Linked DNA regions of Rattus norvegicus. The protein of the gene in region 2 interacts with the protein of the main gene of each other region in a pairwise test. Links are inferred from orthologs where the notes say so. Each region holds a gene or a part of one and is shown on either strand. Other genes may lie near its edges.

Region 1 (9,911 bases), on a different chromosome or scaffold from region 2:
GAAGGCGGTGAGAGTCGCGTCAGCAGTTTGGAGGAGAAAGTGCGGGTTGATTATTGACCCACGCCTTCTTTCTTCAAATGCCACATCCGACCCTGAGGGTTTGAAGGGAAAATGCCGCCGAGCGGATTTTTGCGGCCGGCTCTCACCTCCTACACGTCCCGGGCTCTTCCCTTTCAAGTTGCGCCGCTGCAATATGCCATAAGGAGCAAGTGTTTGCTGTTTTGTGCTCTGTTTACAGCTTTGGGGAGCCGAGTCATAAATCTTGCCCAGCCATAAATGACAAAAACCATTGGTATGCATGAGGCTACCCTGGCCCGGAGTCCTTTTTGATTTCTCCCTTTCCCCCCTGGCTTTGTTTTTGCTCTAAGGTGACACTTTGGCTCCCTGACAGTTTAAACATACTACTTATATTTTTAACACCTTCCTTTGAGAAGGACCCTCGTTGACGCCTCGGAATTGCACGAAAGCTCCATTTCTCTCCTTTTTTTTTTTTTTTTTTTTTTTTTTTGCTTCTGAAGCTGGGAAGCTGAGGGGGTATTGGGAATGATCCCATCCCCTTTAACGTTGTGGCATATTAACAAGCAAATTTAGGCTTTCGCTCAACCCAGCAAAAGGAAGGCCACTCAACTAATTAGAGGGTGAAATACCCTGGACGTCCATTTGTGTTGGTGTCAGAGCCTTATCTCTCTTCCTTACGGGCTACCTGCTTCCGTGTCTGTACTATGCAATGGGTACACAAGAGGTGGAGACTCAAGTTTCTGAATATCTTTGTGTGTGCCTGAGCCCAGAGAGGATCATTTCACTGTGGGGACAGTTGTCCATCTCTCGGGGACACTTCCCTCCGTTAGGCCTAGAAATTTAATCGAAGGCAGTTGAGTTGCTTATGGGAGGTGTGTGGAAATAGGCCCTATACCACAGGGACTGGCTTTAGGGTGTCTGTATTGGGAGCGAGCGGCAGGTGAAGAAAACTGTCAAAGTCAGAGCAACTCATTTCTTCTTCTCTTCTTTCCCCATCCCCCACCCCATGAAAACGTCCATGGCAGGGAATTGCGTGGTTTCTCAGACAGATTCTTAAAAAATAGAACCCCGCAAGAGAGCCCCTTTGTGAGAGCCGTTTGTCCTCATTAGCATAATTTTCCTGGACTTTAGTGACGCCTAGGAAGGAGAGGGAGGGCGTGGGGTGGGGGAGGCCGCCCTCCTCCCTCTGCCGCCGAGCTCGCTCTGCTCCTGTTCCTCCCCTCGCCTCAGCCCCATCCCCCATGCCGGCGCTTCCCTAGCCGCTCTGCTCTCCCCTCCCGCCCGCCCCGGCACCCCTTACCGCACCCCCCGACCGACCCCTGCTCGGCGCAGTATTCATAAGAAACATACCCAAGTCGGTGCCACTAGCCCCGCGGAGCCCGGCCGCGCCAGCGCTTATCTGGGGCCGCGGCCGCGGGCAGGGCGGGGGCGGGCGTGGGGGGAGGGGAGGGGAGGGGGTCCAGCCGCCCCAGTCCGCCGGGGGCCAGCCGCCGGAGCAGCTAGCGGTCCGCCTCTCCGCCGAGTCCCGGCCTTGGGGTCTCCGGCCCGCACGCCCGCCCGCACGCCGGCTCGGCGGATGCTGAGGGTCGGTGGCCATCCCGCGCCGAGGGGACCCGGGGCCGCAGCCTGAGCCCGAGCCCGCGGCGGCCGTCAGAAGTTAAGGTAAGCGGGGCCACCACCGGCCGCTCTCAGCGCTGAATGGTGGAGTGTACGTCTCGGTGATTTATGGCTGCAGACTTAAATCTCGGTTCAAGAAGAGTTCACAAGCCGGAGCTTCCTCGCCGGCAGTGACTGATACCCTCACACTTCAGTTCAGGCCGCGCTCCCATCCCCGCCCCCACTCTCCCCTCTTCCCTAGCCCAGCCTCAACTTTTCTGGGCTGGTGAGATAGAGAGGGGAGTGGGCTAGAAATCGGGGCTTCTACCTCGACGTCCCCTTTCAAACTCGGGTGAGGGAAGCTAAGGGAAGAAGAGGGAGCGGAGTCTGGAGAAGTCGAATTTGGGCATACCTTGTGTAGAGACACAGGGCTTCTGGCTTCCTGAATTCAGTTCTTGCCTCCTCAACTCGCTTCAGCTCTTGCACCTGGAGGTTATTGTCTAGGAACAGAGCTTTGGGGAGGAATCTCCCTCCACCCTCAACCTTTGCTTGTGGGGGACAAAGCAAAGTTTCCTGGCTGGCAAATCTCCAACTTCTTTACTAAATTGAAACTTTGGGGGCTGGAGGGGGCGGGTTGTGTGGACTCCAAGGTGACTGCGAACCTCAAACAATGGGATCTCTGAGTTGAATTCAGGTTTTAAGTTTGTGGACGCTGCCCTATGCACTTTGATTTTAAAGTTATTTTTGTGATTCTTTCAAGACAATGCACAGTACAATGGAAAAAGGTTTAAGCAAGCCGTAGGCTGGTATAGCCTGTGCTAATGGCTTAGAAAGTCACTAGAAACCCTGCACGTTCAAAATCAACTAATTTTGTTTTATCTAATATTTTGCTGTTCGTATGTCTAGAGTCATTTTCTTAATCTGACGTTTATCTTAATTAGGCTTGGTGCCTCAAAAATTTATGACAGACATTAATGCTACCAAATGTAATGGGAATTGTTTTCAATGTAAGAACGAGAAAAGTAGATATTAGATTATAATTCACTCTTAAATTTTATTTTACCCTTTATTTACTTTCCATAGTGTTATCTGTAACTTCCTAGATGTTTTCAAAAGGGAAACAGCATTCAGGCTTCATGACAAGCACAGTAATTCTGGATAAGTGCTGCTGTAATTTTTATTGAGGTTCTGGAAAGTTAATTGTGCCTGTTTTCCAGATGCTGATTAGATTGTTGGTTTGATGATGAAATCTAAGGGAGTTCATTATTACGAACAAAACTATAATCGTCCACTGGTGGATGCTTGCTATGTATATATTTCCCTGGTTGACAGTTGGTACTTCTAGAAAAGTTGAATAACTCTGGGATCGAGTAGCCATAGACAGGGCTTTAAATGTTAAACATTATCTACATGGATTTACTGTTACAGCTTTTTTAGCTGTCAGAGGGACTAGCATTCTGATGGTGTGGCTAGGGGTGAACATGTAAGACTTCCAAGGAACTTTTCTTGCTGAGAATTATAAGTTTATCAGGAGAACACAGATTTCATTTCTATAAAGTACTTTCTAAATAAGAGATTTGGGCTTTTTTTTTAAATGTTTTTCTTTACTTGGTACTTCTGAAGCAGGAAAATGAACCAAATAACAAATCTGATCAACAACAGTATGTACAAAGATCAGGGACGTCTGGCAGGAGTTTATGGTTTGTGCTTCCTCCTCTGGAGCCAAATGACCCCCATACATCAAATTACATAGCAGTTTCTAAGACAGAACCTATTATCGTTAAGTTGGAAGGAGAGTTCAAGCCGTGGTCATGGAGATGAACGCTGGTTTTTCAGGTTCCTGGTGGGTTGTTTTTTTTTTCTCTAATCCATCATGTTTTAACAGGTAGAATTTGATAGTTGCCCAGAATAACAGCACCTCAGAAAATCTGAGGCAGGAGAGTCGTCGGGAACCTCCTGAAACTTTGAAAAAGAGGTTGAAGTGACTTGTTTCAGTTTGTCTGAAAAACAGGGTGGGAGAAAAGGTAGAGAAAATTCCAGGATTTGAGTTGTGTGTGACTTGTGGGTGGAGTTGGGAAAGACCAAGACCAACACCACGCACACGCGCGCGCGCACGCGCGCATACACACACACACACACACATGCACACACACGCGCACACACACACACACACACACACACACACACACACACACAGGTTGGTGGTGGTGTCCTTCTAAAGTTTTCTCTCCCACCCACCCTCTTCTTGACCTTATAGGGTTGATTTGGAGCAGGTTGGTCCTCTTCCCTGAACTAGAACAAACCTAACAAACTCAGCTTCCAAAGTCCATCATGATCCAATAAGGCAATTGCCTACTTGTGTGTGTGTGTGTGTGTGTGTGTGTGTGTGTGTGTGTGTGTGTGTGCAAACCTCCTTTGAGAACTCCAGGAAAAGCCTGGTTAGGAAGGAAATCTGACTATCTTAGGTCTTTTGAACAAATATGAATTCTAAAATGAGAATTGGAGGAAAAATGACCCTTTGCCCTCTTGAGAGTTCCCCCAAGATCTCGATCGAGAAAGCTCCGGCTTCTACAAAGGGACACCACGGTTTCTTCTGCAAAAGAAAGACCCCAAAGTAGCTTCCAGACCCCGTCTCATTTTAGACCTCGGCTCCGGAGACCTAGCTCCCAGCCCTTACTGGTTCTACTGCTCCGCAGAAAATCCCCCAACTCCAGACGCAAGTTAAGCAAATATTTGTAGCTGCCAGTAAATTCCAGCAGCTTTTTATAGTGCGGCTCCCTGCGCCCGGGGCCACGTCGTGCTGCTAAATATTGCTGACCACTTTTTCTTTTATGGCTTTCATGTCACTTAGCTATTGAGAGTAAGATGGATTTGCGCGGAGCCCTCACCGCGCTGCACTTCTCCCCCCTCCCTCAGGTCTGCGCGCGGCGGCCATTGGCGGCGGAGTGTCACGTGACTGCGGGGGCGTGCCAATGTGCTCCCTTACGGGTGTCAAGCCCTTGTCAGAGAGTGTGATCACGATCGTGAAACATCGCGATGCAAAAAGCGACCTACTACGACAGCTCGGCGATCTACGGTGGCTACCCCTACCAAGCAGCCAATGGGTTCGCTTACAATGCCAGTCAGCAGCCATACGCGCCGTCCGCCACTCTGGGCACGGATGGTGTTGAGTACCATCGACCCGCCTGCTCCCTCCAGTCTCCCGCCAGCGCTGGGGCCCACCCCAAAAGTCATGAGCTGAGCGAAGCTTGTCTGCGCACCCTGAGCGGGCCTCCTAGCCAGCCCCCAGGCCTGGGTGATCCACCTTTGCCTCCACCTCCTCCCCAGGCAGCGCCCCCAGCCCCCCAGCCTCCACAGCCCCCACCACAGCCCCCTGCACCCACCCCTGCAGCTCCTCCGCCTCCCTCATCTGTCTCTCCCCCTCAAAGTGCCAACAGCAACCCTACCCCTGCCAGCACAGCCAAGAGCCCCCTGCTCAACTCTCCCACCGTGGGCAAACAAATCTTTCCCTGGATGAAAGAGTCAAGGCAGAACACTAAGCAGAAAACCAGCGGCTCCAGCTCAGGTAAATGGATGCCTTTTGGAGGCGGGGCCTCTGGCCAAGCTCCAGGCTCCAAGCCACTTCTAGCTATGCCAGCTAGCTATTCCCTGGAGCAGAGGAGCATCTCCAGAAATTTGCCCCTACCCCCCCACCCCCACACACACCAAGGGGAAAGATCTTTCCAGAATCTTTGCTACTTAGGGAGGTGATAAGGTTTCCGTGCAAGGATCCCTCAGACATAAATCTGACTCAAGTCCCTCTGGGCGTCTCTAAGGAGGTTTGAGCCTAGTGACGTTGAAACCCTTCTTTGTTCCAGTGTTGGGAGTTCTGACCTCTAGATAGATCCATCCTCAGGACCACTGTCTCTCTAAGCCCACGGCTCCTTTTTTCTAGGCAAACAGTGGCATCCTCCCCAGACTGAAACGTGGCAGAATAAAAGCAGGCCTAGTCATCACCCAAGTCAGAATCAATGCTTTGTCTATAATCAGAGCCAATGTTCTCTGCAGCAGATGGACTGGCTGCTTTACTTCTGGGAAGGAAGGCCTTGCTCAGCCTTAGTACAATGCAGGAGGCAGCCGGGCATCCCCTGGGGGAGGGGATTCAGCTTGTCATCCTAATGGGAACCACATGGGGCTTTGGGAACTGGACTCCAGTGGGGGAACCTTAGCCTCAGGGACTTGGGCTTCCAATCTTCTTGGTTACCTTGGGGGCCTTTCCTCTCTGGTTTCCTTGGCTCTCCTCCAGAACTGATATTTGGGGAGCCAAGGAGGACAGGAGGCACAAACGTGATGGTTCAAATTGGGGCAGCCTTCATGGTGACATTGAGAACCTCATGATGAAGACTCCTTAAAGCCTGGGCTTCTCTACCAGAACTAGATAGCTTTGGTGAGGTCTGGTCTCTTTGGTCAGAGGTCTCCCAGTTGGACAATACCAACCTGTTCGTCTCCTCTTAGTAGATATCGGAAACTGGTTAGTTGAAGCTAATGGCTGACCACTCAGGCAGGATGAAAGGTCTTCATGTATACACTAGGTCTCCCACATTCCAGCAACTGAAGGAACCTGCTCACAGGAAGCTTGTTTTCTGCTGGACCAGTAAATAAGCTGGGCGAGTCAAATAGAGAGGAAGTGCAGGGCAGCAAGGCAAGCAGGAGGCTCTGCTGCTCTGTCCTCTCCTTGAAGAAGCCCCTGATTTGCTCCTTAGAGGAAGGAAGGGCAGGCTAACCAGGCCATTTCCGCACACCAAGGGAGGAAGGCAGCACTGAAGTCCTGCTCCTCTCTGGCCTTGGACAGAGGCTTCTGTGGGGTGAAGAAAGGAGGGGCAGGCCTAGGACTGGGGAGCTGGGCGGGGTCGCTAGCAGCCCCTGACTCCGCTCTTCCTCTGTGTTCTGGCAGGGGAGAGCTGCGCTGGTGACAAGAGCCCGCCTGGGCAGGCTTCGTCCAAGCGCGCGCGCACGGCGTACACGAGCGCGCAGCTGGTGGAGCTGGAGAAGGAGTTCCACTTCAACCGCTACCTATGCCGGCCGCGCCGAGTGGAGATGGCCAACCTGCTGAACCTCACCGAGCGCCAGATCAAGATCTGGTTCCAGAACCGCCGTATGAAGTACAAGAAGGACCAGAAGGGCAAAGGCATGCTGACTTCGTCTGGGGGCCAGTCCCCAAGTCGTAGCCCTGTGCCTCCCGGTGCAGGAGGTTATCTGAATTCTATGCATTCGCTGGTCAACAGTGTCCCATATGAGCCCCAGTCACCCCCTCCTTTCTCCAAGCCCCCCCAAGGCGCCTACGGGTTGCCTCCGGCCTCCTACCCTGCTCCCCTGCCCAGTTGCGCTCCCCCACCTCCCCCACAGAAACGCTACACAGCGGCGGGGTCAGGCGCAGGGGGCACCCCTGAGTACGACCCACATGCTCACGGCCTGCAGGGCAACGGCAGCTATGGGACCCCACACTTACAGGGAAGCCCCGTCTTCGTAGGGGGCAGCTATGTGGAGCCCATGGGCAACTCTGGGCCAGCACTCTTTGGCCTAACTCACCTCCCCCACACCACCTCGGCTGCCGTGGACTACGGGGGCTCTGGGCCGCTGGGCAGCGGTCACCACCATGGGCCTGGGCCTGGGGAGCCACACCCCACCTACACGGACCTTACTGCCCACCATCCTTCTCAGGGAAGAATTCAGGAAGCGCCCAAGCTCACCCACCTGTGATGATGGGCTGGGGCTGCAAGCCAGGAGAGTTGCCCACCCAACCTTCTTTGGTTTCTTTTTCCTCTGTTTTGTTTTGTTTTATGTTCTTCTCGCCTTTCCCCTTTCTCCTCTGCACCTCTCCCTCATTTTCCCCCTTCGGTAATGCGTTTTTATAGTTTATGTGACGTAGCAATCTTGGTTGCTGGAAAGGCTGTCAGTATCAGTAGCAACATTTACTACCACCCCTCCTCGCCCTGGCCTCTGGCCCTGCACCCTCTACCCTCTCTACTCTTCGATAAGAAACAGGGTATATGAACAAACTTTCTAGTCGAGTTTTCAATGTGAATTTGTTCATACTTTATGGCTCCCGAGAGGAAGCAACTGCGTTTTTTTTTTTAAGTTTTAGTTTTTAAAATTGCACTTCTTGTAATGATCGAGAAAAAGAAATCAAAGGCGCTTTGAAACAGGGACTCCCTGTGCAAAGTTGACTAAGTGTACGTCTTTCCGTGTGTGTGTGCTGGTGAACAGTCAGATTTATTTATATTTTTTTGCAAGCATTGAATAGTCTAAGTTTTAAATATTATTTATCCCCATCCGTTCGTATTTATATTAAAGAAATTCTGTACCCTGATTGTTCAGAAGGTTTCTTGAGCCTTTTGTTCAATGGTGTATTGGCATACATATAAAATTTATTTGAAAGGGAAATAAAATTCCTTTATAAAAACCGTAGCAATGCAATAAGAACAGAGAGGACCCAGAGTTTGAAAATAGTGGTTTAGGTTTGTAACATCCGGCAAAACTGAACGCTAAAAATGCCAGATTTGTTTTGAGAGTTTTACATTCCTTGCTGCTCACATTCTGAGAAACAAAACAAAAAAAAATAAAGTTTTTATTCTGATTAAGATCCGTGTCAAAAGGGGTTCTTTGGCTGGAGACGGGTCTCTGCGTGGAGTTCTGGCAGAAGCGAGCTGGCAGCGGCTGCAGCAGCACTGCGACTCCGGCGTGCGGCCTGGTCCGGCGGCGTCTGCCTTGGAAGCTCAGCGAGCTCTGGGGATAGAGGCCGCGGTTTCAAGCGACTGCTGCCGCTGCTCGGGAAATGCCGTGCTCCGGGCCCGCTGAGCTGCCTGGTTCCCAGCTGCCGCCCAAGCAGGGCGCCAGGCTGCTGAGTGCGGGGCGGCCTGGCAGAAACAAAGGCGGTCGGCCTGGGCGCAGCGGGCGGCGCACAGGTGCGGGGCGCCGCGCACCGAGAACCCGGGGCTCCTCTTCATTTTCCCCCGCACCGAAGGCCCAGCGGCCAAGGCCTCAACCTTGGGAACAGCACAGGGTCTTAAGCTCTTCTCACAAGCTACCGAATTCCAGGTCTCCACTGAGGATGCTTCGCGGTTCATTATCACTTCTGAAGAAGAGGGGGTGGGGGTGTCTCTTCTAAATTCACCTTGAAAGGGACCTATCCCTCTGGTCTCCAGGAAAAGCTTCATAGAGTCCTCCAGGCCTTCCTTGGGCTGGAAGGAATCACTTCCATGAATCTCAGCATCAAATTCCTCCCGGAATTCAGCATTTGCCATTCTCTGGATTTATTTCCTCTCTTTTTTATGGTCCCAGGGGGAGGAGGAGAGAGAAAGGAGATTGGTATCTTTCTAATAAAAATGCAATTGTACAAGTACTTCTTTCATTTGCTGCTACACAAGCTTAATATTACATTTCCACGTTTGGATTTAAGATAGGATGCCCACTGACTGGCTGGCAGAGTCAAAGACAGATACAGCAAAGGAAATATTTCCATCTTCAAGGTAAAGAATTACAGATCCAAGAAGCCAAACTCAGAAAAAAGCAAGCTTCACAGCTGCATCTCATCACTAACCCCTCAGTGCTGGAAGAGAACAGCCTGCATTTGGAGATTGGGGGCATCTGAACCCCCGTTCTCTCTGGATTGTATCTTTCAAAGGCAGAAGTGGAAAATGTCGCCATTTTGTTTGCAATCTTGAATATCCATCATCATGGCCTCTACCCACCCATACCCGGCGCCCTAAGAAAATCCTTAAAAGCAAGAGCTGGAGTCATTTCTGGGTACCTGCTGAGTCCCAGAGAGCAGCGCTTAAGAACCCTTTTCATGTTTTAAGAAAATGAAAAATCTCCAGGCTGCTGCAGAAAGCTGGGAGTCTCACGCCAAAGGAGCTTTCCCCACATCCACCCTCCTGCTCTTGATTCATGCTCGATTTTGAAAGCTTTTGGCCTGTAGGGAAGTTGGATTTGCTCTCCTCACCCTGATCTCCTTAAGGTGCACACTTCAGAAATGCAGAAACCAGTCTTGGTGAGAACTGGAGTCTTTTGGGTTATTGAAACCATGCAGATAACTGTAGTCTTTTTATGTAAGCATTAAAAAAACATGCATAAAATTACCTGGGAAAATAAGGGACAGCCTCAAGGGGAAGAGGTGTGGGGTCTCCCCCTGAAAACCTTCCAGAGATATCAGCATTTGAACCTATGCCTTCAAATCTTCCCTTTAACTTCCTCCTTCCCTCAGAGCAGAGGCTGTACAATGAGACTCTAATACTCTTTCCCATATCTTGCCAGTCAAG
Region 2 (10,175 bases):
GGCATTGGATCTCTTTACAGATGGTTGTGAGCCACATGTGGTTGCTGGGAATTGAACTCGGGACCTCTGGAAGAGTAGTCGGGTGCTCTTAACCACTGAGCCATCTCTCCAGCCCTGTTTATGGAATTTTTAAAGAAGTCCCTACATGTTTAATACAGACATAATGTCAAATAATATTTTCCATTCCAGTATGGTTACATTTATGGTTATGAAACAGATGGATACAGAGGGCCAATTGCACTTATGTTCTGTTTACTTCTTTAACGAGATACATAATTTACTTATCTAACAAATAAAACAAAAAGTTTTTAATTAACTATATTGCTACTGAAAGCTGATTTCTTCTTGGTAAGTGCATAAAGGTTCACTTGGGTTAACCAAGAAGGGCTGATCAGTGAGTGAGCAAGGAACTGGGAAGACCAGCCAAAGAACCAGAAAGATAAAGTCAAGGCAGTTAAAATGCTCACAGGACACTCCTCAGCCTTGGTCAAGAAGAAAGAGACAAGACACTCACTTGCGGGCAATGGTGGTCACTCGGATGCGCTTCTGAGTGCTGGAATGCTGATACTGAGTGACAAACTGGATGGCACCTCTGCCTCCCTGGGGAATCGGGGCATTGTGCTGCAGGATGAGAGGCCACACATCTGGTTACTGTCACAGGCATGACTTAAACATGGTCCTTCTAAAGCACTGAGGTTCTCAGTACATTTTCACTGGTACACTTAGGACATGCATGTTCTATGGTATCATTGTATCTTATCTAAAAGGGAGAGGGGAGGAGGAGGAGGAGCAGTAGCACATTCAAATGAACTGGGGCTGGCTATGTAGCTCAGTGATAGATCGTGTGCATACAATACATGAGGCCTTGGGTTCAGTCCCCAGTATCAGAAGGAATAAAAGTAAACTCTCAGTTGACGAATTGGTGCTAAGCTATTTAGAGATGAAAACCACGGGTGATTGCAAGTTGCTCTGAAGCGTATCAAAAATAAGCCAGGTGTGGTGACGTACACCTGCGATCCCAGCACTTGAATATGGAAGCAGAAGGATCCGAAGCTCAAAGCCACACTGGTCTACAAGACACCCCGTCTCATCTCCCCTGCACCCACAAAAGCACAGAAAATAAAATGGAGACAGTTAACAATGCAACCATGTAGAATAGATTATAGAATCTAAGTAGTGGTTATGCAGGTGTTCCTGTACAAGTCTGACCAACTCTTCTGGATATTTGTGATTTCGCATAACAAAATATTGGGAAAAGACTGATTCCCTCAAAAATTCATGAGTTATGACAGCTAAGAAAAGCCAGTACTCATCTCAGGACCTTGTCAGATCAACAATAAAGGAGCAAAGTAATTTGCTGCTTGATTCTAACTAAATGCTGGAGGGAATTTTAAAAGAGCACACCAAATTAACACAACAGCTAACAGGATACCAAAGGTATATCAAGCCAGGACACAGTACTTCCTAATAAATCAGAAGAAATTGTAACATGAAAATTGCTACGCACCTGATTGACAACTTCAAAGTAGATGCCAAGAGTAGACGAAGGATCCAGGCCACAGATCTTCCACTGACTTGTGCCACCAACGCCGAGCTCCTAGGGATGAGAGGGGAATTTCAAAAGGCACATATGAAAATAAATCCTGAGGGAAACCAGGAGTTAGAAACACTGAATGAGCGGGGTAGGTCACATTTGAACATTTGGTCCAAGCTAAAATTTTAAATTCAAGTAAAAACATCTAGAAAATGTATAATTACAAACCAGAAGGAATCTTGATGTTTACATTTATAGTACTTTTAAAATTAACCTTTTTATACAGGCACTCTAAATCATCTTAATACATCATATATATAAAACATATATACAGCATATAATACTTAAGTCAACAAAGAATCATGTCAAATGTTGGGAAAAAAAACAAAGAGAATTGGTTTAAAAGCTGCAATTGCTTTTTTCATCACTATTAGAATAATAAAACAGAGCTGAAGATCAACTAGAAATCATAGGGACAGACAGAAGCTTTGAGCAGATTCCGGTTTTATCTTTAACCCTAACTTCCATTCACTCAAGCACAGGGAGGAGAGAAACAGCTTAAATACCACTGTGCAGAAGCAGATGCCCCAGACCGCAGACTCCTCTAGAGAAGATATTCAGCACTGCCTTCAACATCACTGTCTGGAAACATAAAAGCACAGAAACAGAAAGAAGAGAGCAAAAGGTGAGGGCTAGGCTCGGGCTTGAAAAATTAAGGCTACGGAACTGAAAGCAACGCTGGTGGGATTAGGAGAGCCACAGAGAGCAGTTGGGAGCAAAGTGGGGAGAGAGCGCAGGCTAGGTGCTGTACCAGATGCTACTTTGAGATCATTGTTCATTTTCACAGACTTGACAATGAGGAAATGATATAACAGCCTTATTTTTAGAATATACACACTGTATATCACTTAAGAACCAAGTGTCATGACATCTGAAAATTATTTCCAAAGGTTTCTGAAAATAATGGTGGTAAAGCAAACATAGCAGGAGGTCATAACTACACACAGTGGGCAAATGCAGCACCAACTGCTATGGAATGCCACCAACACCTCCCGGTGGTGCTAGAAGGTGGGTACACAGGAACACATGTACGGTTCCTAAGACTGCAGCATGATTGCAGCTGCGCTTTCCTTAACCCTGAAAGCATCCTCACCCTCCAACCAAAACTTTCAATGCTGAATTCAAATGGAAACTAATCAGTGTGGTGCACGTTTTAAAGTATCTTTTTAAAACCACTGCAGGAACCTTCGTCAGGGAGACTTTCCAGCTCACAGAAAGTATCCTGGGGGGGGCAGGCTTCCAAAGCCCTTCCACGAAAACAGGAATGGTGGTGCAAGTCACTTGGCACACTGAGACAAACAACCTTCATTGGGCTTTGGGGCAGAAAGTCCTTCATCCAAGGACTACAGAGGCGTGTATACAAATAGTGAACCCCTGCCAAGCTCGACAAAACTTTCATTTATATAGTCACTGCCAGTGTCGGCTCTGACATACAAGAGATATACAACTTGTATGGGGCTCCAGTGTGTCTTGTCCTAAGTGTGCCAACCGACCAACCTCATTCACTCCTAACATTCTTAAGTAGATATTGCTATTTTCCCATTTTCTAGAAACACTCAATTATAAAGCGTTAAGAATTGTACCCAGGCCACTCAGCTAGTGAGTGTATGCACCCTAAGTCCACAACAGTTCTATCGTCCACCTCCCACTGTGGATGACAAGAAGGGAAGGACAAGACTGTGTAACAACATCCCAGGACACCTCAGAGACTGCAGTGATACAATTTTATAGGGGGGAAAAAAGTTCTTGCATTCTAAAGGATTGAAATTTTGTTGGACCTCACAGTCAAATACACCTCTTGATCACAGGCTATCCTACTGTGCAATCAGTCTGTTGGTGTGCAACCTTAAAATAACGATGTAACACTAACCTTACTTGCCTTGGACAGCCCATGAATCAGCTTTTACAACCTGAACTAACGCACTGAGTTAATCTTACATTATATACTCTCCCATGCTCCTGAGCCAGAGGAAGACACGTGTACATATGTATACATGCAGCCTTACATTATATACTCTCCCATGCTCCTGAGCCAGAGTAAGACATGTGTACATATGTATACATGTAGCTAACAACAGCCAACATGTTGGAAACGACCTTATAAAACACTCACCACACATCTTAGAAACAACATATAGGCATAGCTTGTTTGCAGCACTGAGTGCAAATTGGGGTTACTTGGGGTCAGTAAAATGACCTCTCCCCTTGTAAACCTGTTAGTGACTTTTGTAAAGAAACCCTCTTCCTTCTCCATGGGATCCTTCCTGGGTTGTTCAGTAAATACAGACCACAGACAGACAAAGGGAAAGTGAGACACCAGACAGCATTCAGACAGGCAAGGGCACAGACACCCATGGAGATCACGGATAGACCAGTAACTATGGACAGACAGAAGAACAGAGAGAAGTGAAGAGCTCAAACTTGGGCTTACTCTGGATCAAATTAATCAAAGAGGAATCTGTGACTTCATCCCTTGATGCAACACTCACTGATACATTTTCATATTCTGAGGTTACACTTAGTACACGTAACCAATGCAGAAGAGGCCTCATAAATCAGGTGCTGTGGCTTTTAGCAGCTAAAGCATGCTCACAGCCTGGGGACCATCAGCAAAGCCACTTACACAAGGGGATGCCTGCACTTTGCTCTCATAACTAACAATACATATGCATCTGCATCATCCATCCACTGTCCGACCAACTAAGAGGTCTCACTCGTTATCACAGGTTATTCTGGAAGAATTCTGAATTTGCTGTAGAATTGCTTTTGTTCTCAGTGAGACAGCATCCACATATCAGACGTGGGAGGAACCTGAGATCTGGGTCCTCTTCATCAGCAGCTGTGTAAGGGTTAACTTAACCTCCCTGACTCCATGTTTTCTTCTCTGGTCAAAGACATATCAGTGAGCAGAAGGACAGATGACAATACCTCTTAGAGTTGTCATCAGTGAGGGTTAGAGCTCCTCTCAGACAAGTCACCTCCCGTGATACAATACAAGATCATCATGGTCTGACTTAGCTAATGAGTTTACTACAGGGCAAGTGAGAAGGTGATTTTCCTTACATTTTCTGACACACATGGTCCTTTCACATTCAGAGACACACATGGACCAATGGCACCTGCAATCTTCAGTTCCCGAGAGGTCTAAAACAAATCACACATTAAGTTAACAGTCAGCCTGCTGCTACTACGATCATAATACAAACTTAGAGGAAAATTCCCAGAGAAAATTGCTAATAGAGTACACTATCTAAATGCCCACTCAGGCTTTTCCAAGAACACTAGGAGCTGGTTAAAGCGTCAACAAAGTCCACCATAGAAAGTCCATCAAAAGACCAGGTGTAATGGTTCAATAGTAATACTCAGCAGGCTGAGGCAAAGATGAAGAGTTCAAGGCCAGCCTCGATGTATAGTGAGTGTATTTGAGGCCAGTCTGAGTTCATTAGACCATCTCAAAATCAAGACAAAGTTCTTTTGTTTGATTTGAAGCAGAATCCCCAAGTAGCTGAGACTAGCCTGGAAATCCATGGATAGCTCAAGTGAACTTACACTCACAATCCTCCTGCCTCTGCCTAAATGCCAGGATACAGGATGGCACCCCCACACCTGGCCAGGTGGCATTTTCAACTCTATTCATTTCCAACCTTTGATACTGTTATATATGAAAGGTAACAACTCTACCAACTGCATTACATTCTTTTCCAAATACCATGCATATTCATACTTATTTACATATTTCTATCCAGTAAACATTGTCTTGTATTCCTTTAAAAATACTGAATTCACAAACCCTAACAAAATGGTAAGACCAACGGAGATCTTTTTCGTTTCTTTTCTTTCCTTTTCTTTTCTTTGAGGCATGTCACCTCTATGTAGTCCTGATTGTTCTGGAACTCACTACATAGACCAGGCTGGCTCTGAACTCACAGATTTTTCTGACTCTTAATTTTTTTTTCTTAAATTATTATTTAAAATCTGACTTCATTTCAATAAAAATGAATTCAGTCCACACCTCTTTTTGGGGGAGGCAGGGGTGATTTTAGACAGGGTTTCTCTGTGTAGCCCTAGCTGTTCTAGAACTAGCTCTGTAGACTAGGCTGACCTTGAACTCAGAGACCCACCTGCTTCTGCCTCCACAGTGCTGGGATTAAAGCATGCGCTCAACCCATTCCTCTTAGCTTTTACATAGATGCTGGGATCCTAACTCAAGGCACTCATGCTTACACAGCAGGCACTACATCCACAGAGCCAGCTCCCTATCCCCTTTTTTAACAACTTCCAACTCTGCTAAATAAGCAATGAAGCAAACCCCTTAAACATGTAAAGACACTGTTTAAAGCCTACCCTAGATAATTTAATGCTTTTCTCTAATTCTCTAACCAAGTTTCTAACAGCCCCTTTTAATGGTTTCTCAATTGCTTAAGATTCAGTTGTCTAGGACTCTGATTTCCTACAAAGTATTTGAACACCACGTTCTTCTTAAATATAAACCCCACTCTGCAGTGCAGTGGCTCACACCGATGGCTGGGTGGATACTGACCATGTGTGACTTGCCTGTCTTTAAGCCCCAGTATGGCAACCAACACCCACCACACACCCAACTAACTCTACCTATCCTTAACCAGGGTGCAACAGAGCAGGGTCTGAGGAGAAAGAGAAACTTTCTGTTTAGAACCTTAATAAACACATGGGTAATCCCTGAGAAGAAAGGAATACAGTGGACCAAATACTTCGTGATATCCATCTTACTGGATCCTTTTAAGTGGTCATTAAAGCTTATATCTATCAGCTGAGGCTGCAGGGTCTAAGCTGAGCCACACTAATCCCAATCAAGTTTCAAAAGTTGTCATATGGCTACGTACAATACAGCACACTGGAGGGAGAAGCAGCAGATCTCTAGGAGTCCGAGGCAAGCCTGTTCTAGACTAGTGAGTTCCAAGCCAATTGAGGATACACACAGTAAGACCCTGCCTCAGGTAAATAATAAATAATTAAGTATTTATCATGCATGTATGAAAATGCTATAAGCTAATTATATAAGCTAATTTAAAATCAAACTTTTCTAGACGCCTACTGCACCTTGACTTCCAGGGTAGCACCAAACGCCATTCTGAAATCTCCGTTGAAGTCTTTACTAAAAATCCTTTGGAAGGTCTGCTTGAAGAGAGAGGTGTTGAATGAGTCTCCCATCACCATGAGGCCTCTGGATAAGAAAGGGGGAGAGTACACATTTCAAAGGACTGGAAGCCATTTTGGTCGTTCCCGTAAGATTCGCAAACAATTTACACACACACATACACACACACACACACACACATACACACACACACAGAATTTCCTCCCTCCCTGCCAGGTGTCTCCAGGTGACCACGTGCCCCCTGTAAATTGAATGTTTAAAGGAAAAAGCACACCATCTCAGCGAGGAAACCCAGCACTAAGGGATCACCAGTGCCTTTTCCAGGAAAACCATCTACTACCCCTCTAGCTCAGCCTGGGGTCACTGTGACTTTGCCTGAAGTAATCCTCCTAGACCAGGCCATGGACTGCTATTGTTTCCATGGTTGTTTTAGTGCTCCCTCCCATCCCACACCCATTACATGTGTCCATCATCTCCTTGTATATGTGTATTTGTAAGTTTCTGTGTGGGTGTACATATTCATGGAGGGTTCAGAGGTCAGAGGACAACCTGCAGGAGTTGGTGTCTCCTTCCACATTTGAGCATCAGGGACTGAAAGCCTCAGACTTGGTGGCAGGCAGGCACCTCCCTGCTGAGCCATCTTGCTAGCGCTTGTGTTATTGGCTTTTGTCTTCTTTGGAAAAGGGGCTTTTCTTTGTAACATCAACTTCTTGCTATACAGCCCAGGCCAGCCTTGATCTCAAGATCCTCCAGAATGCTAGTGTTACAGGTCTGCCCACCAGGACCAGTGGGAACTCACGCTATTCCAATCCGTTCAACAATACATGTATCTCATCTCTAGTATCTGACCATTCCAAACCACGCTCAAATGACTTAGGCTCTACCTCCTATGCCCGCCCCTAAGAGAGCAGAGAAGAATCACTATGGAGGTTGATTAGAAAGGCATAAATCGGGGCTGGAGAGATGGCTCAGCGGTTAAGAGCACCGACTGCTCTTCCAGAGGTCCTGAGTTCAATTCCCAGCAACCACATGGTGGCTCACAACCATCTGTAATGAGATCTGATACCCTCTTCTGGTGTGTCTGAAGACAGCTACAGTGTACTTATATATAATAAATAAATAAATCTTTAAAAAAAAAAAAAAGAAAGGCATAAATCTGGACCAGAAGATGGTTCAACAAGTAAAGGTGCTTGCCACCAAGCAAGAGATGTTCAATCTGAGTTCCACACAGTGGAAGAAGATAACTAACTTCACACAGTGTCCTGTGACCGCCACATGTGCACACTGGTGCATGCGTGCGTGCCTGCGTGCGTGCGTATTCCGTCGATGTAGGTTCTGATTGGGCAAGTGGGAAATGAGCTCTGAGAGGTTGCACTTCTACTGAGCTCCCAGCAAAACCAAGGCTGTGTATGCTCAAACTCTGATCTATGTTAGAACCACAGGACAGAAACTTTGAAGAATGCTGATACGCAAGCCACGCCCATGTTCATTATTTTAGGCTGCTGGGGACTGGGAGTGGAGAACATGACAGCAAAGCAGCTTGTTTTGTTGCCCTTTCACTCTTAACGCTCCCTAGGTGACACTAATGTGCAGCTGAGCTTCGGATTCAGTGTCCACCTCAGTGCTTCTCGCACTTTCATGAACACCCCAATCTCCACCACTGCTCCCCAAGAGCTTTTGATGCAGAGGTCTGAGGAAAACCAAAGAACACTCCTAATCAGTTCCCATGAGCGCCTAAGGTTCCTAGTCCAGCCATCACTGCAGGCTGAGAATTTATTCTACGTTTTCACTTGAGGACAATATGACTTGTTGGCAAGTGTACCCCATACGGTGACAGTGTGACTAGCATTAATCACAGAGTCATTGGCCAGGTCAAGCTTCTTCTAACTACTTGACACTCAGATGGCATTTACTCATTATCACAAAGAAGTGCCCTGCTGAAGGCCAGGTACTGCATACCAGCTTGATGGCCTAGTCTGCAGACAAGTCTAACAACTCCAAAGAAGAGACAAATTAACAAAGTTACTCGGATGCAACTTGTTCCCAGTGAAATCCTGAGACCTCTTCTAAGCACTGCTTCTTCCTCCACAGGGCCCACAGTCCCTTTCCAGTCACCCATTCCAAACCTCAGAGTCACCAGAAAACTCCAAAGCTGGCCTCACTCACCCCGTAACTCCATCATTCATTCCTTCCCTAGTTCCCAGATGTTCAATGTGAACCTCTTACCCTGTAAGATTTGGACAGCACTTCATCTCCAGAAGTCCAGTTTGATCAAGGGCACAAGCATAAATATCAATGCAGTGACCATTTGTAGCAGTTCGATTAGCAAGCATCTCATAATGCTATAAAGAAAGAAAACTCTTAGGAAACAGAAGCATAGTTCCCAAGGCACATCTTACCACACCTAAGGGTGTTATCAACAACGGGAGCACAGAGTTCACCGCCTATAAAACAGCATGTAAAATCAAAAGGCAGCCTTAGAGTCAAAACTCTTTAAACACTCTAGAGCCGCTCACTCTAACCAGTCAGGTGGGGTCAGTGAGTTCAAAAGAGGCAAGATCTGGAAGACTGTCACTACACAAGCACCCGCTGACCTCAGCAAGCGGCCATCACTGATCTGGAGCAGTCCACACCTGGCTGTGCGACTGTAATTACAGCTGGCATCTGAGGGTACCTACCTTGGTTGCCTTTTTCATGAACCGTGCATTATCTTTCTCAATATCGTGCCAGGAACGAATAGGAGTCTTCAATTCATCTCCAACCACCATGCCAGGTCCTTGGGTCGGGGGCCCACCAGTGAACAGCATGATCCTGGCTCCAGTATTTGGGAATGTACCCTAAAAATAGAGTTAGCGTAAAGACTGTGGCAGAAACATACAGTTCCACCTCTGAGCACGGTTTGTTTCTATATTCAAATCCTCCAGAGACAACCAACTGTCTTCACACTCCTGCTGCCTCACAGGTTCTTGGCACTAGTTCTGCTGCAGAGTAACATCCATGGGGGTGTGGGGGAGAAGAGTATATCTTACTGTCTCCAAACCAGTAAACTTCCATTACTTTAGTAAAAGCACTCCACTACCCTAATTCCCTTAGCTTTTCATGAAAACTTTGTGGTATTTGCAAAATACTGAGTTCCTCCTCGATGTGGATAATAATGATGGAAACATTTTCTTTTTTTAAAAAAACAGATTTATATATTTATTATATATGAGTACACTGTCATTGTCTTCAGACACACCAGAAGAGGGCATCAGATTCCATTACAGATGGTTGTGAGCCACCATGTGGTTGCTGGGATTTGAACTCAGGACCTCTGGAAGAGCAGTCAGTGCTCTTAACTGCTGAGCCATCTCCCCAGCCCAAAACATTTTCTAATACATAGACAAAGGGCTGACTTGAGGCACAAGAAATTTTCCAACAAAGCCAACAAGAACAAGAACAGCT

What was found.
Region 1: the proteins of Sec23b (region 2) and Hoxa3 interact in binary tests that used the Homo sapiens proteins (3 or more experiments, as listed by UniProt). The two-hybrid records come from large-scale screens. The link is inferred for Rattus norvegicus from reciprocal best matches to the Homo sapiens genes SEC23B and HOXA3.

The regions. Positions count from the first base shown.
Region 1 is NC_086022.1:82,598,183-82,608,093, reverse strand, and holds the end of Hoxa3 (homeobox protein Hox-A3), read left to right. Parts: intron 1-1,368; coding exon of another isoform or gene 1,369-1,615; exon of another isoform or gene 1,616-1,680; intron 1,681-2,026; exon of another isoform or gene 2,027-2,164; intron 2,165-4,530; 5' UTR 4,531-4,650; coding exon 4,651-5,179; intron 5,180-6,547; coding exon 6,548-7,353; 3' UTR 7,354-8,234; downstream 8,235-9,911. Other genes in the region: Hoxa3l1 (vasodilator-stimulated phosphoprotein-like), read right to left, coding at 1,369-1,615. UniProt on the Homo sapiens protein: Sequence-specific transcription factor which is part of a developmental regulatory system that provides cells with specific positional identities on the anterior-posterior axis.
Region 2 is NC_086021.1:152,403,731-152,413,905, reverse strand, and holds part of Sec23b (protein transport protein Sec23B), read right to left. Parts: intron 9,569-10,175; coding exon 9,410-9,568; intron 9,074-9,409; coding exon 8,958-9,073; intron 6,798-8,957; coding exon 6,674-6,797; intron 4,739-6,673; coding exon 4,658-4,738; intron 1,598-4,657; coding exon 1,508-1,597; intron 622-1,507; coding exon 515-621; intron 1-514. UniProt on the Homo sapiens protein: Component of the coat protein complex II (COPII) which promotes the formation of transport vesicles from the endoplasmic reticulum (ER).